3 linked regions of the Cricetulus griseus genome follow. The protein of the gene in region 1 purifies or fractionates together with the protein of each later gene. This does not show direct contact. Links are inferred from orthologs where the notes say so. Each region holds a gene or a part of one and is shown in the gene's direction. Other genes may lie near its edges.

Evidence for each region.
Region 2: the proteins of Ptges3 (region 1) and Dyrk1b purify together in Homo sapiens (affinity purification with mass spectrometry; 3 studies listed by BioGRID and IntAct, with this or other methods). This does not show direct contact. The link is inferred for Cricetulus griseus from reciprocal best matches to the Homo sapiens genes PTGES3 and DYRK1B.
Region 3: the proteins of Ptges3 (region 1) and serine/threonine-protein phosphatase 5 purify together in Homo sapiens (affinity purification with mass spectrometry; 5 studies listed by BioGRID and IntAct, with this or other methods). This does not show direct contact. The link is inferred for Cricetulus griseus from reciprocal best matches to the Homo sapiens genes PTGES3 and PPP5C.

Annotation. Positions count from the first base shown.
Region 1 is NW_023276806.1:129,802,387-129,806,122, reverse strand, and holds the start of Ptges3 (prostaglandin E synthase 3), read left to right. Parts: upstream 1-823; 5' UTR 824-832; coding exon 833-858; intron 859-3,736. UniProt on the Homo sapiens protein: Cytosolic prostaglandin synthase that catalyzes the oxidoreduction of prostaglandin endoperoxide H2 (PGH2) to prostaglandin E2 (PGE2).
Region 2 is NC_048602.1:7,912,599-7,915,102, reverse strand, and holds the end of Dyrk1b (dual specificity tyrosine-phosphorylation-regulated kinase 1B), read left to right. Parts: coding exon 1-26; intron 27-301; coding exon 302-617; intron 618-944; coding exon 945-1,051; intron 1,052-1,137; coding exon 1,138-1,509; 3' UTR 1,510-1,880; downstream 1,881-2,504.
Region 3 is NC_048602.1:11,654,201-11,657,951, reverse strand, and holds the start of serine/threonine-protein phosphatase 5, read left to right. Parts: upstream 1-1,321; 5' UTR 1,322-1,399; coding exon 1,400-1,520; intron 1,521-3,751. UniProt on the Homo sapiens protein: Serine/threonine-protein phosphatase that dephosphorylates a myriad of proteins involved in different signaling pathways including the kinases CSNK1E, ASK1/MAP3K5, PRKDC and RAF1, the nuclear receptors NR3C1, PPARG, ESR1 and ESR2, SMAD proteins and TAU/MAPT.

The DNA of each region.
Region 1 (3,736 bases):
TGGATTACCTGAACTATGGAGTTAAAGATGTTTGTGAAACACCATATAGTTGTTGAGGATAGAATCCTGGGGCCGGTTCTCTTAATCATTGAACAACCTTTGGTTGGGGATTTTAAGCTTGCACCATTATGCCCTTATCTCTTTTGTTTGGTTTTTTGTTTGTTTGTTTGGTTTTTTGTTTGTTTGGTTTTTTCTGGAGACTGGGTTTCTCTGTGGCTTTGGAGGCTGTCCTGGAACTAGCTCTTGTAGACCAGGCTGGTCTCGAACTCACGGAGATCCACCTGCTTCTGCCTCCTGAGTGCTGGAATTAAAGGCGTGCACCACCACCACTTGGCCATTATTCATTTTGAAGTATTCAGAGACCAGATGTTACTTTGATTTGTAACTCTGGTTTCAAGCTATCCAGCACCCTCTTTGGACCTCTCTGGGCCCTCTGGCCTCCAGTACCAGGCATACAGGCAATGTACATACATGTAGCAACACACACATAAAATAAATATGAACAACTCCTTAGATGAAAATGTTCAGTATATACCATTTTGTAAATAAATGTCAAGGCATGTAACTAATGACTTAGAATCTTTAAAGTGAAAATTGGAAGAATGTTTGACTTATGGCATTGTTTATTGGTGTCTGCTAAATAGGCTTATTCTTTGAGACAGTCTCATTGTGTAGCCCTGGCTTTTCCTGGAACTGTAGACTAGGCTAGCAGTGAACTCCTGGAGGTTAGCCTGCTTCTGCCTCCCCAGTGCTTGGATTAAAGTTACATATTTATTTATGTATTTACTTTGCAGAACCCCCAAGATAAAATATTCAGCCTTCCAAGCTTAAAATGAGCATGCGGTATGTTTCTGTCTTGTAAGTTTGAAAAGAGTAACTGATGGCCTTTGTTCAATGTTGATTTCCTAACCACTGTAACCTGGCAACTGATTTTTCCTTTTTCTTGTTGAGTTAGACTTTAACTAGAAGACATAGGAACAAAGTGACAAACATTGTAGGTTACAGTTACTGCTTATCCTTGACCCCTAGACAACACTATGGAACAGATGGTGGGGCTTTGGGGGAGTTTGGGGTTTTTTTAGGTAGGTGTGTGCCGGGCTTATGTGAACTTGTGATCCTCTTTTTGACACAAGTCTGAGATTACAAGCATATGTCACCATGCCCAGCTCTGTAAATTCTCAAATGTAGAATTGTTTTTATTATCTCTAACTCACAGAGATTCCCCTACCTCTGCCTCCTGAGTGCTGGGATTAGTGTGCATCACTACAGCAAGCTAAAAATTTCTAGGTGGGGCCTGGCCTGTACCTGCTGCCTTCTCCTCCCAAGTGTTGGGATAACAGGCATGTCCATAGTGTCTGGCAGAACTTTGTGTCTTGTTCCTTATTATAAACTATCATGAACCAGGCAGTGGTGGCGCACGCCTTTAATCCCAGCACTCGGGAGGCAGAGGCAGGCGGATCTCTGTGAGTTGGAGGGCAGCCTGGTCTAAAGAGCTAGTTCCAGGACAGCCTCCAAAGCCACAGAGAAACCCTGTCTTGAAAAAACAAAAAAACAACAACAACAAAAAACTATCATGATAGAGATACAAGAGCTTTGTTTAGTCTTCATTCTTTCATTCGTTCCTTCTCCTTTTGCTTCCACCTGCAACACCAGCTGTGGAAAGGTAGGGGCAGGAAGTTTGTTGCAATTTGAGGCCATCCACACCTGCATAGTTAAGACTTGCTCATAGCTGGGCAGTGATGGCCAACCCCTTTAATCCCAACACTTGGAAGGCAGAAGCAGGCAGATCTCTTGAGTTCCAGGACAGCCAGGATTGTTACAGGAGAAACCCTGTCTCGAAAATGTCCCTCATAGCAAGACTTTGCTTTAAAACACTGAAAGGGGACCGGGGAAATGGTTTAGCCAGTAAGAGTATTTGCCAACAAACATAAGGACCTAAGGTCAAATTTCCATGGGGGTGGGGGCGGCGGCTGAAGAGATGGCTCAGCAGTTAAGAAACTGGCTAGTCTAACAGAGGACCCAGGTTCAGTTCCCAGTACCCACAAGGCAGCTCCAATGGATCCAACACCCTCACAGAGGCAGAACACAATGTATGTAAAATAAAAAAAATCACTGAAGCCTTTCCATCACCCATGTAAAAAGCTATTTGCACTGTGTGTTCAGGACAGGGGGCCTGTTAGGGTTTGTTAGCCACTTGCTTTCATATTTAGTGAGAGTCTCAAAGGTGTGGAAGTGGAGCAAGGTTGAGACAGACATCTGGCCACTTCACAACCCCACCACCACCACATTTGCATGTATACTACATACAAACATAAGACAATCAATTTTTGTACAATTGTGTGTGAAGGCCTGGTGTGGGTGCTGAGAACTGAACACAGGTCATTTTGTTTTGTTCTTGGTTTGTTAGAGAAGAGGCTTGGGTTTGTGAAGAGACTGTTTAGACACTACTGTGAGAAGGCAGATTTGGGGCCAGCTGCAGAGTGAGACCTTAACATTAAACAAAAAGTGACTTTTAATTATTTTTATTTTGTAAGAAATGGTTCTTTTAGGGAGTCTCTTTCACTTGATAGCCACCTCTGTGTCCTCATCTCCCCTTACAAGGGCCCCAGTCATATTAGAGGAGAGCCTGCTTTGATTCCATTACCTTTAAAAGCCCTGTCTAAAGTAAAAGTCTCATGCTGAGGTACTGAATTTCAGAGTTAAACATGAGAAATTGGACAGAAAGCAGTTCACCCTTAGCATTGATTACTTAATGTGCTTCTAAGGAAGTAGGTTAACTTTGCTGGTTCCTGTGTCTTAAGTAGTGAATGAACAAAGAACAGAAAAACTGAGCCTGGGCATGGTAGCACACACCTTTAACCCACCTGCCTCTACCTCCCAAGTCCTGGAATTAAAGGCTGTTGCTGCTAGGCAAGCAATTATTGTAATGTGCTTGGTAAAGAATCTGCTCATTAATTAGCCTCAGCCGCTAGGCAAAAAGCAGGTGGACTGTATACCCATTTTCTCCAAGTTAAGTAGATAAAATCCTCACTGAATCCTCGTGTGCCAGCTATTTGGTGTTATTGGGGGTTCTCTAATGGAAGAGAACTGATTCAGTGAATATATAACAGGATTTATTGGCTTTTGTACATGATGCTTGTGTCAACGGAATAGTCCAACAATGGCTGACTTACCCAGAGAAGTCCAGAACCTTGTAGTTGCTTTTAGTCACTTCCAATCTGATACTTGAAAGCCTGGACAAATCCCAAAGAGCTGCTGCTGGTCTTCAGTCCATTTAGGAAGCATGGAGCAGGGCAGCAACAGGGTATTGGCACTAGAAAGTTCGGCTCACAATTAATTAGAATGTGTTTTTACACTTCAAATAGTTTGATCAAGAAAATGTACAAGAATGCCTTTGAGTTGATTTAGGATCCAAGTTTACAACCCACATTATTTGGGAAGGGTCTAAGCATTGTTTAATAAACATGGTAACATGCTGTGTAGTGAAGGCACAGTTTTCTAAAGTTAAACACGACAACTGGGTGATAATGGTTATCTGTAGCTGTTAGTATTCACTGAATGGGGGCGGTATTGTAGTTTTTATTTTAGATGGGTGGGCTCATGGTATGTATGTGTGTGGGCATGCATGGAGTCCTAGTTCCCATCTTTATGTGAGTTCTGAGAATTGAAGGCAAGTTGCCAGGCTTTTGGGTCAAATAACATTACTTGGCTGCTGAGCCATTTCACCCGGGCAAGA
Region 2 (2,504 bases), on another chromosome or scaffold:
TACGAAGGACAAAGGAACTCAGGAAGGTGCGGCCCCTGCCCTGTGCCACTTCTCCCTCCCTGGGTGGCCCCTCACTCACACTTGGGGCTCCCCTCTCCCTGCGTCTTTCCCTGTCTTTCTCCCCCACCCCTTGTCTGTCCTTTGCTTCCTCCCCTGCCTATCCCGTCACCGTCCCACCCCACAGCTCTTGTTAGCTTCTCTCTTGCTCTCTTGTGCCTCTGTTTCCCCGTGTGTGTCTCCCTGCCCCTCCTGCCCACTGACGGCCACTCTCTTGCCCCCCCTCCCACCCCCTCCCTGCCAGGATTACCAGGGCCCCGGGACACGGCGGCTGCAGGAGGTGCTGGGCGTGCAGACGGGCGGGCCCGGGGGCCGGCGGGCGGGGGAGCCGGGCCACAGCCCCGCCGACTACCTCCGCTTCCAGGACCTGGTGCTGCGCATGCTGGAGTATGAGCCCGCCGCCCGCATCAGCCCTCTGGGCGCTCTGCAGCACGGCTTCTTCCGCCGCACGGCCGACGAGGCCACCAACACGGGCCCGGCAGGCAGCAGTGCCTCCACCTCGCCCGCACCCCTCGACACCTGCCCCTCCTCTAGCACCGCCAGCTCCATCTCCAGCTCTGGTGGGTGCCCACTGTCACGTGTGCCGCAGGGCCCAGCCTGGGATACCTCCCGCTGGGCCTCTGTCCTAGAGCCTTAGAGCTAAGCTACCAGATTCTGAGCTGCAGGGTGAGGTGGGGTGGGACAGTCCCACGTGATCCAGGCTTGAGAGTCAGCCCCTAAAGCTGCCTCTAGCCTCCCACACAACTCTGACCCAAGATCTCAAAATCAGGCTGTTAGAGCCTTCAAACCAGCTCTGGCCTCAGAGTCCCAGCATGGCGCCTAGATGTTGAGCAGACTGCCTGCATCTTACCGCCACTGCCCTCTTTTCTCCTTCCCGGTGCTTCCAGGAGGCTCCAGTGGCTCCTCCAGTGACAACAGGGCCTACCGCTACAGCAACCGATATTGTGGGGGACCTGGGCCCCCCATCACCGACTGTGAGATGAACAGCCCCCAGGTACTAGAGCTTGAAACCTTGGAGGTGGGTGGCAGGCGCTTAACACTTCAGGACCTTAACATCCTTCGGTTTTTTGTTTTTTTAAGGTTATACCCTCCCAGCCTCTGCGCCCCTGGGCAGGGGGTGATGTGCCCCACAAGACACATCAAGCCCCTACCTCTGCCTCGACATTGCCAGGGACTGGGGCCCAGTTACTCCCTCAACCCCGATGCCTTGGACGTCCCGCATCGCCAACGTCACCACCACCCCCGGAGCTGATGGATGTGAGCCTGGTGGGCAGCCCTCCAGACTGCTCCCCACCTCATCCAGCACCTGCCCCCCAGCACCCGGCTGCCTCATCACTCCGGACTCGGATGACGGGAGGTCGACCACCTCTCCCACCCCCGGATGACCCTGCCACTCTAGGGCCTCGCCTGAGCCTCCACGGTGTACCCCAGAGCACAGCAGCCAGCTCATGACCCTGCCCCCTCCCTGGGGCCCCTCCTGAAGCCATACCCCCTCCCCCCATCTGGGGGCCCTAGGCTCCCATCCTCATCTCTCCCCTTGACTGGACTTGCTGCTACCCAGCTGGGGTGGGTGAGGCCTGCACTGATTGGGGCCCAGGGCAGGGGGTCAAGGGAGAGGGGTTTTGGCCACGCCCTCCCCACTAAGACTGGACCCTTGGCCCCCTCTCCTCCCTTGTTTTCTATTTATTGTACCAAAGACAGTGGTGGTCCGGTAGAGGGGGAGATTCCCCCTCACCCCAGGACCCTAGGAGGGGGTGGGGGCAGGTAGGGGGAGATGGCCTTGCTCCTCCTTGCTGTACCCCCCAGTAAAGAGCTTTCTCACATGCCTGCCTGAGCGTTTGCAGGGCCTTGGCTCCCTCTCCTGACCCTCAGAGGCATGGTGGGGAAGGGTGCTTTGTGGTGTGGGTATTGGCCCTCCTGGGGACATCATCCTTCTTGGTGCAGGCATGGGGCAGCAGGAGGTTGGCGGGCTGTAGAACCATAGACACATCCTGGGTACAAGAATCCTAGCCCACATCTGCCTTTTCCGGGGTAAAAAGGTCCCTTTCTGGCCTGTTGCTGGAAATTGTAATGTTCTGCCCTCATCTGCCAGGGCTCCCATAGAGTCCACCCAGGAATGGCTTTTTTGTGTCGGGCAGGCACCCAGTAGGCTCTGGGTATACTCTACAGGCCTTCCTTGGTTACTATCCAGAGAGGCTATGGGGACAGATTTTACCCCACCTGTATCCAGTCCCATTCTGGAGTCATTGCAGAATATTGAGATTCTCGGGCAAAAAGACGCTCCCTGACTTCCAGGTAAGTGATTTTTGTTTCATGGCAATTTGGAACCAGCTGTCTTCCCACCCAGTCTTGCAAGAACTACCTGATTCAAACTGTTAAGAGCGCTTACAACGGGCAGGCGCGGTGACTCCTGGGAGATGGAGTTCTACAAGACCGGCTCTTTGCTC
Region 3 (3,751 bases), on another chromosome or scaffold:
AAACCCTGTATTGGAAAAAAAAAAAAAGAGTTTGGGTTTTCGCCTAAGGGAGTTGGGGAGCTATGGAAGACTGGGGCGGGTGCCAGCCTTACAGTGTTCTAGCAAGATGCCTCTGACTGCCATATGGAAGGTAAACTGGAGGGGGTTGGATGAACCGAAGCAAGCATCAGAGGAGGCCGAAGCTGTGATCCAGGCAAGGGAGATGCAGACAGCAACCCAAGCGTCATTTAACAGACTCCATTGGTCTGGTTGTTTGTGTTTGTGACAGGGTCTCAAGTATCCCAGTCTGGCCTTGAACTTGAAATTCTGGTCCTCTTGTCTCCACCTACCAAATGTTCCCATTACAGAGATCCACCTTTCAGTCTGGTTTCACGTGGTGCTGGGACGGTACTCAAGCCTGGAGGATGCTAGACTAGTATTCGACCAACTGAGCTACATCCCCGGTCCTTTAAAAAAATTCTGCTGGGGCCCACCATGATGCAGCAAGCCAACACCTGGGAGGCAAAGGTAGATGGATCTCTGTGAGTTCAAGGCCAGCCTGGTCTGCACAGCAAGTTCCAGGCCAGCCAGGGCTACAAAGCGGGACCCTGTCTCAAAAAATAAATAAATAAATAAATAAATAAAACAAATACATAAATAAAACACTATTTTTTTTAAAAAAAAATATACTATTGAACCCAGAACACAGCACAGTCGATACTTGGCTCAAGACTCGAAAAAACCGGGATGCCCCTGTTCATAACCCAGAAAGACCGATTGGCAAGGTTCAAACTTTTATTCGGTTTCCTTGGGGGAACTATGTGTTTTTTGTTTTTGTTGTTGTTGTTGTTGTTTTTCCCCAGAAGGGACACTGGGGGCGACTTGTTCAAGGTCACAAGGAGCAACCAGGCAGCAAGCACCCAACTCCGGAGCAGGTTTCCCGGTTCGGTTGGGCAGGGTGCTGCCGTGAAAGCGGTCCCAGCCCGCGCGGGGAGGCAGGCATCAGAGCGCCGATCCATCATCACCAAGCCCAAACGCATGCCCGCGGGTCCCTGAGACCCCGAGAAACTTTCTTGCTGCCCGAGAACTCTCTTAACTTTGGGGAGCAGGCGCCCTCCGGGCTCACCCCGGGCCTCCAGCGCTCCCCCGCGATGGGATCCTTTCCCACGAGGGGGGCATCTGGACGGCCTCTGGTCACCTTGCCCTCCGCGAGCACCAGCGTGCGAGCCGGTGGCGGGAGGGAGGGGGGGGAGGAGGGAGGGAGATGGCTCGCCGCGCAGGCGCGCCAGGCGAGCCTTTGGGGCCCGCGCTTTACGACACTTGTGCGGCAGCGGCGGCGGTCACTCGGCGCTCCTTCGCGACGGTTCGGCCTGTGTGCCGCGAGCGGCCGTTGCCAGGGCAGGGGGGGTCGCTTTGCGGCATGGCGATGGCGGAGGGCGAGCGGGCTGAGTGTGCCGAGCCCCCCCGGGACGAGCCCCCGGCCGACGGCGCTCTGAAGCGGGCGGAGGAGCTCAAGACGCAGGCCAACGACTACTTCAAAGGTGCGTGCGGGCCCGGCGCGGGGCGAGCGGTCCAGGCCGCGCGGGAGGAAGCCGGCCGGGGGCCCCCCGCGGGGAACCATGGCAACGCGGAGCCGGAGCCTGTGGGCGCCGAGGATGCAGGTTCCTCCCGAGGCAGCCGGCGCGAGGAGGAGGCGGCCCAGACCCGGGGTGGTGGTGGGGGGGGTGGAGGTGGGGGGGAGAGAGAGAGAGTCCTTGGAGAAAGCGGGGTTCCGGAGCAGAAGCCGCTCGCCGCGGTGGGGAGACTGAGGCAGGCTCTGCTGCACGATGCGGGGGGGGTACAAGCGGGGGTTGGGGGGGGACACCCGACATGTGATTGCTGCCAAAACGCGAGACCTGGACAGACAGAGGTGCTGCTAGGTGCAGGTCAGACCTGAAGAGGGCGCCACCGGCTAGTGACATGTGTTGAGGGCAGTGATGGCGCTGGCCGAGCGGCGGGGGACACCCGAGGTGACTCTGGCCAACTGAGGAAGGAGGAGGGAAGGCCCCCAGGGAGAAGGGATCTGTGGGGATGGACGAGATAGATGATTAGGTTGGAAGGAGACTTAGTTGGGGCGCGCGGGGGGGGGGGGGGTGATCCGAGGTGATGAGTAGGGAGTAGAGGTGGAGCAGGAAAGAGCTGGCGTGATCCTTGGGTTAAGAGTGCGATGTGGGAATGTGTCCGTCCGTCCGTCCATCCTTCCATCCATCCATCCATTCATTCCCTCAGTACCTTTGCATGAACTGTCACGTGCTTGGCTCCGGAGGCTGTAGCAATGAGTGAGGACCCATAGCTTGGGTTCAAGCAGCCCCGACAATTGCTAAAAACTTTCGGTGAGCACTTTGGATCGAGGTGCCAAAAGTAGAGAGTGCAGGTTAAAGTCTGCTCTGGATAGAGCCGGGTTAGGGAATGCCCGGGAGAAGGGCTTTTTAAGGAGAATTGGGAAGGGGTTTCTTTCCCACGTGGGTCAGTTGACATAGCTCAGAGACCCTCAGTTGCAGAACGAGTGAAAACAGATTGGCTTAGTCGGAGCTTGAGCAAGCCTTGGGGGGGGGGACTTGATACAAGATGAGATTAGTAAGATGAGGGACCAGATCGAGCAAAACCTATGAAGGGTTTTCTGGACTGTCCAAAAAAAAAAAAAAGACACATTGAGTAGATAGATGGGCCAGTCTGGGCTGGGGAAAATTTGGAGTGTGACCAGCCCGTGGTTGGAGGTGCCCTGGGAATGGATGAAGTTACCTACAAGTGGGATCTACAGAGAACCTAGAATGGCATTTTCCTAAAACCGAAACGGGGCTGCTGAGGGAAAAGAAAAAAAAGTGAGCCAGAGGGAAGGAAAACTAGGAAAGGTGCCCCAGGCTAAGAGAGGAAGGTTCTTCCCGAAAGAAAGCCAGTTGCCTGATCACCTAGCCCCAGGCATCGCCTCCAAGGTGAAGGCGATGATGTTGACAGTGCAGTTGTGAATGATAAAGCCAGCCCACAAGTTCCTGGCAGGTGAATATTGGGGACCCCCGGGGGACAAGCGTCTCAGTTCTGAAGGAGGGTGGAGAAATGGGGGCAGATGGCAAGAGGGGGAGTGGGTGGGGGGTCCCTAGGAGTGCTATTTCAGATATGGGCCAAAAGAGATACAGACCCAGGGAAACATCTGCAGACAGTAGGGGGTGAGGGGGAGCGGGGGAGAAAGATCTAGAATCCTAGGGAGAGGTGGGCCCCAGTGGAGGTAAGTCCAGACACTGTGGTGCATGCCTGCCAGCCCAGCTCTGGGGAGGCTGAGTCGGGAGAATTGTGAGTTTAGTGACAGCCAGGAACACATAGCAAGACCGTCACAAATAAAGTGGGAAAAGTAGGTAGAGGAGCCTTAGATGTCTCTCTGTGTGTGTGTGTGGGGGGGGGTTATAGAGATCATCCTAAGGGCAGCAAGGAGATACAGAGGGTTTTAAGAGAGTGGCCCAGCTGGTTCTGAGGGAGGACAGTTGAGAGGGTGGAACCTCTGACCTGGCTGGAGGGAGGAAATGAGGCTGGCTTCCTAGAGAGGGGGAGGGTGGCAGTTGGTCAGGGCCCAAAGGTGAGCGGAGCCTGGCACTTAGATGAGTGGGGCTGGGGTGGAGGTGGTTAGAGTTAGGCCATGGGAAGGGACAGGAGCCTTCAGCTTAGGTTCTGGAGAAATAACCCTGCTTCAGATTTGTGTCTTCTAAAGATTTGGGGGGGAGGGGGCAGGAAGCGGGGGGGG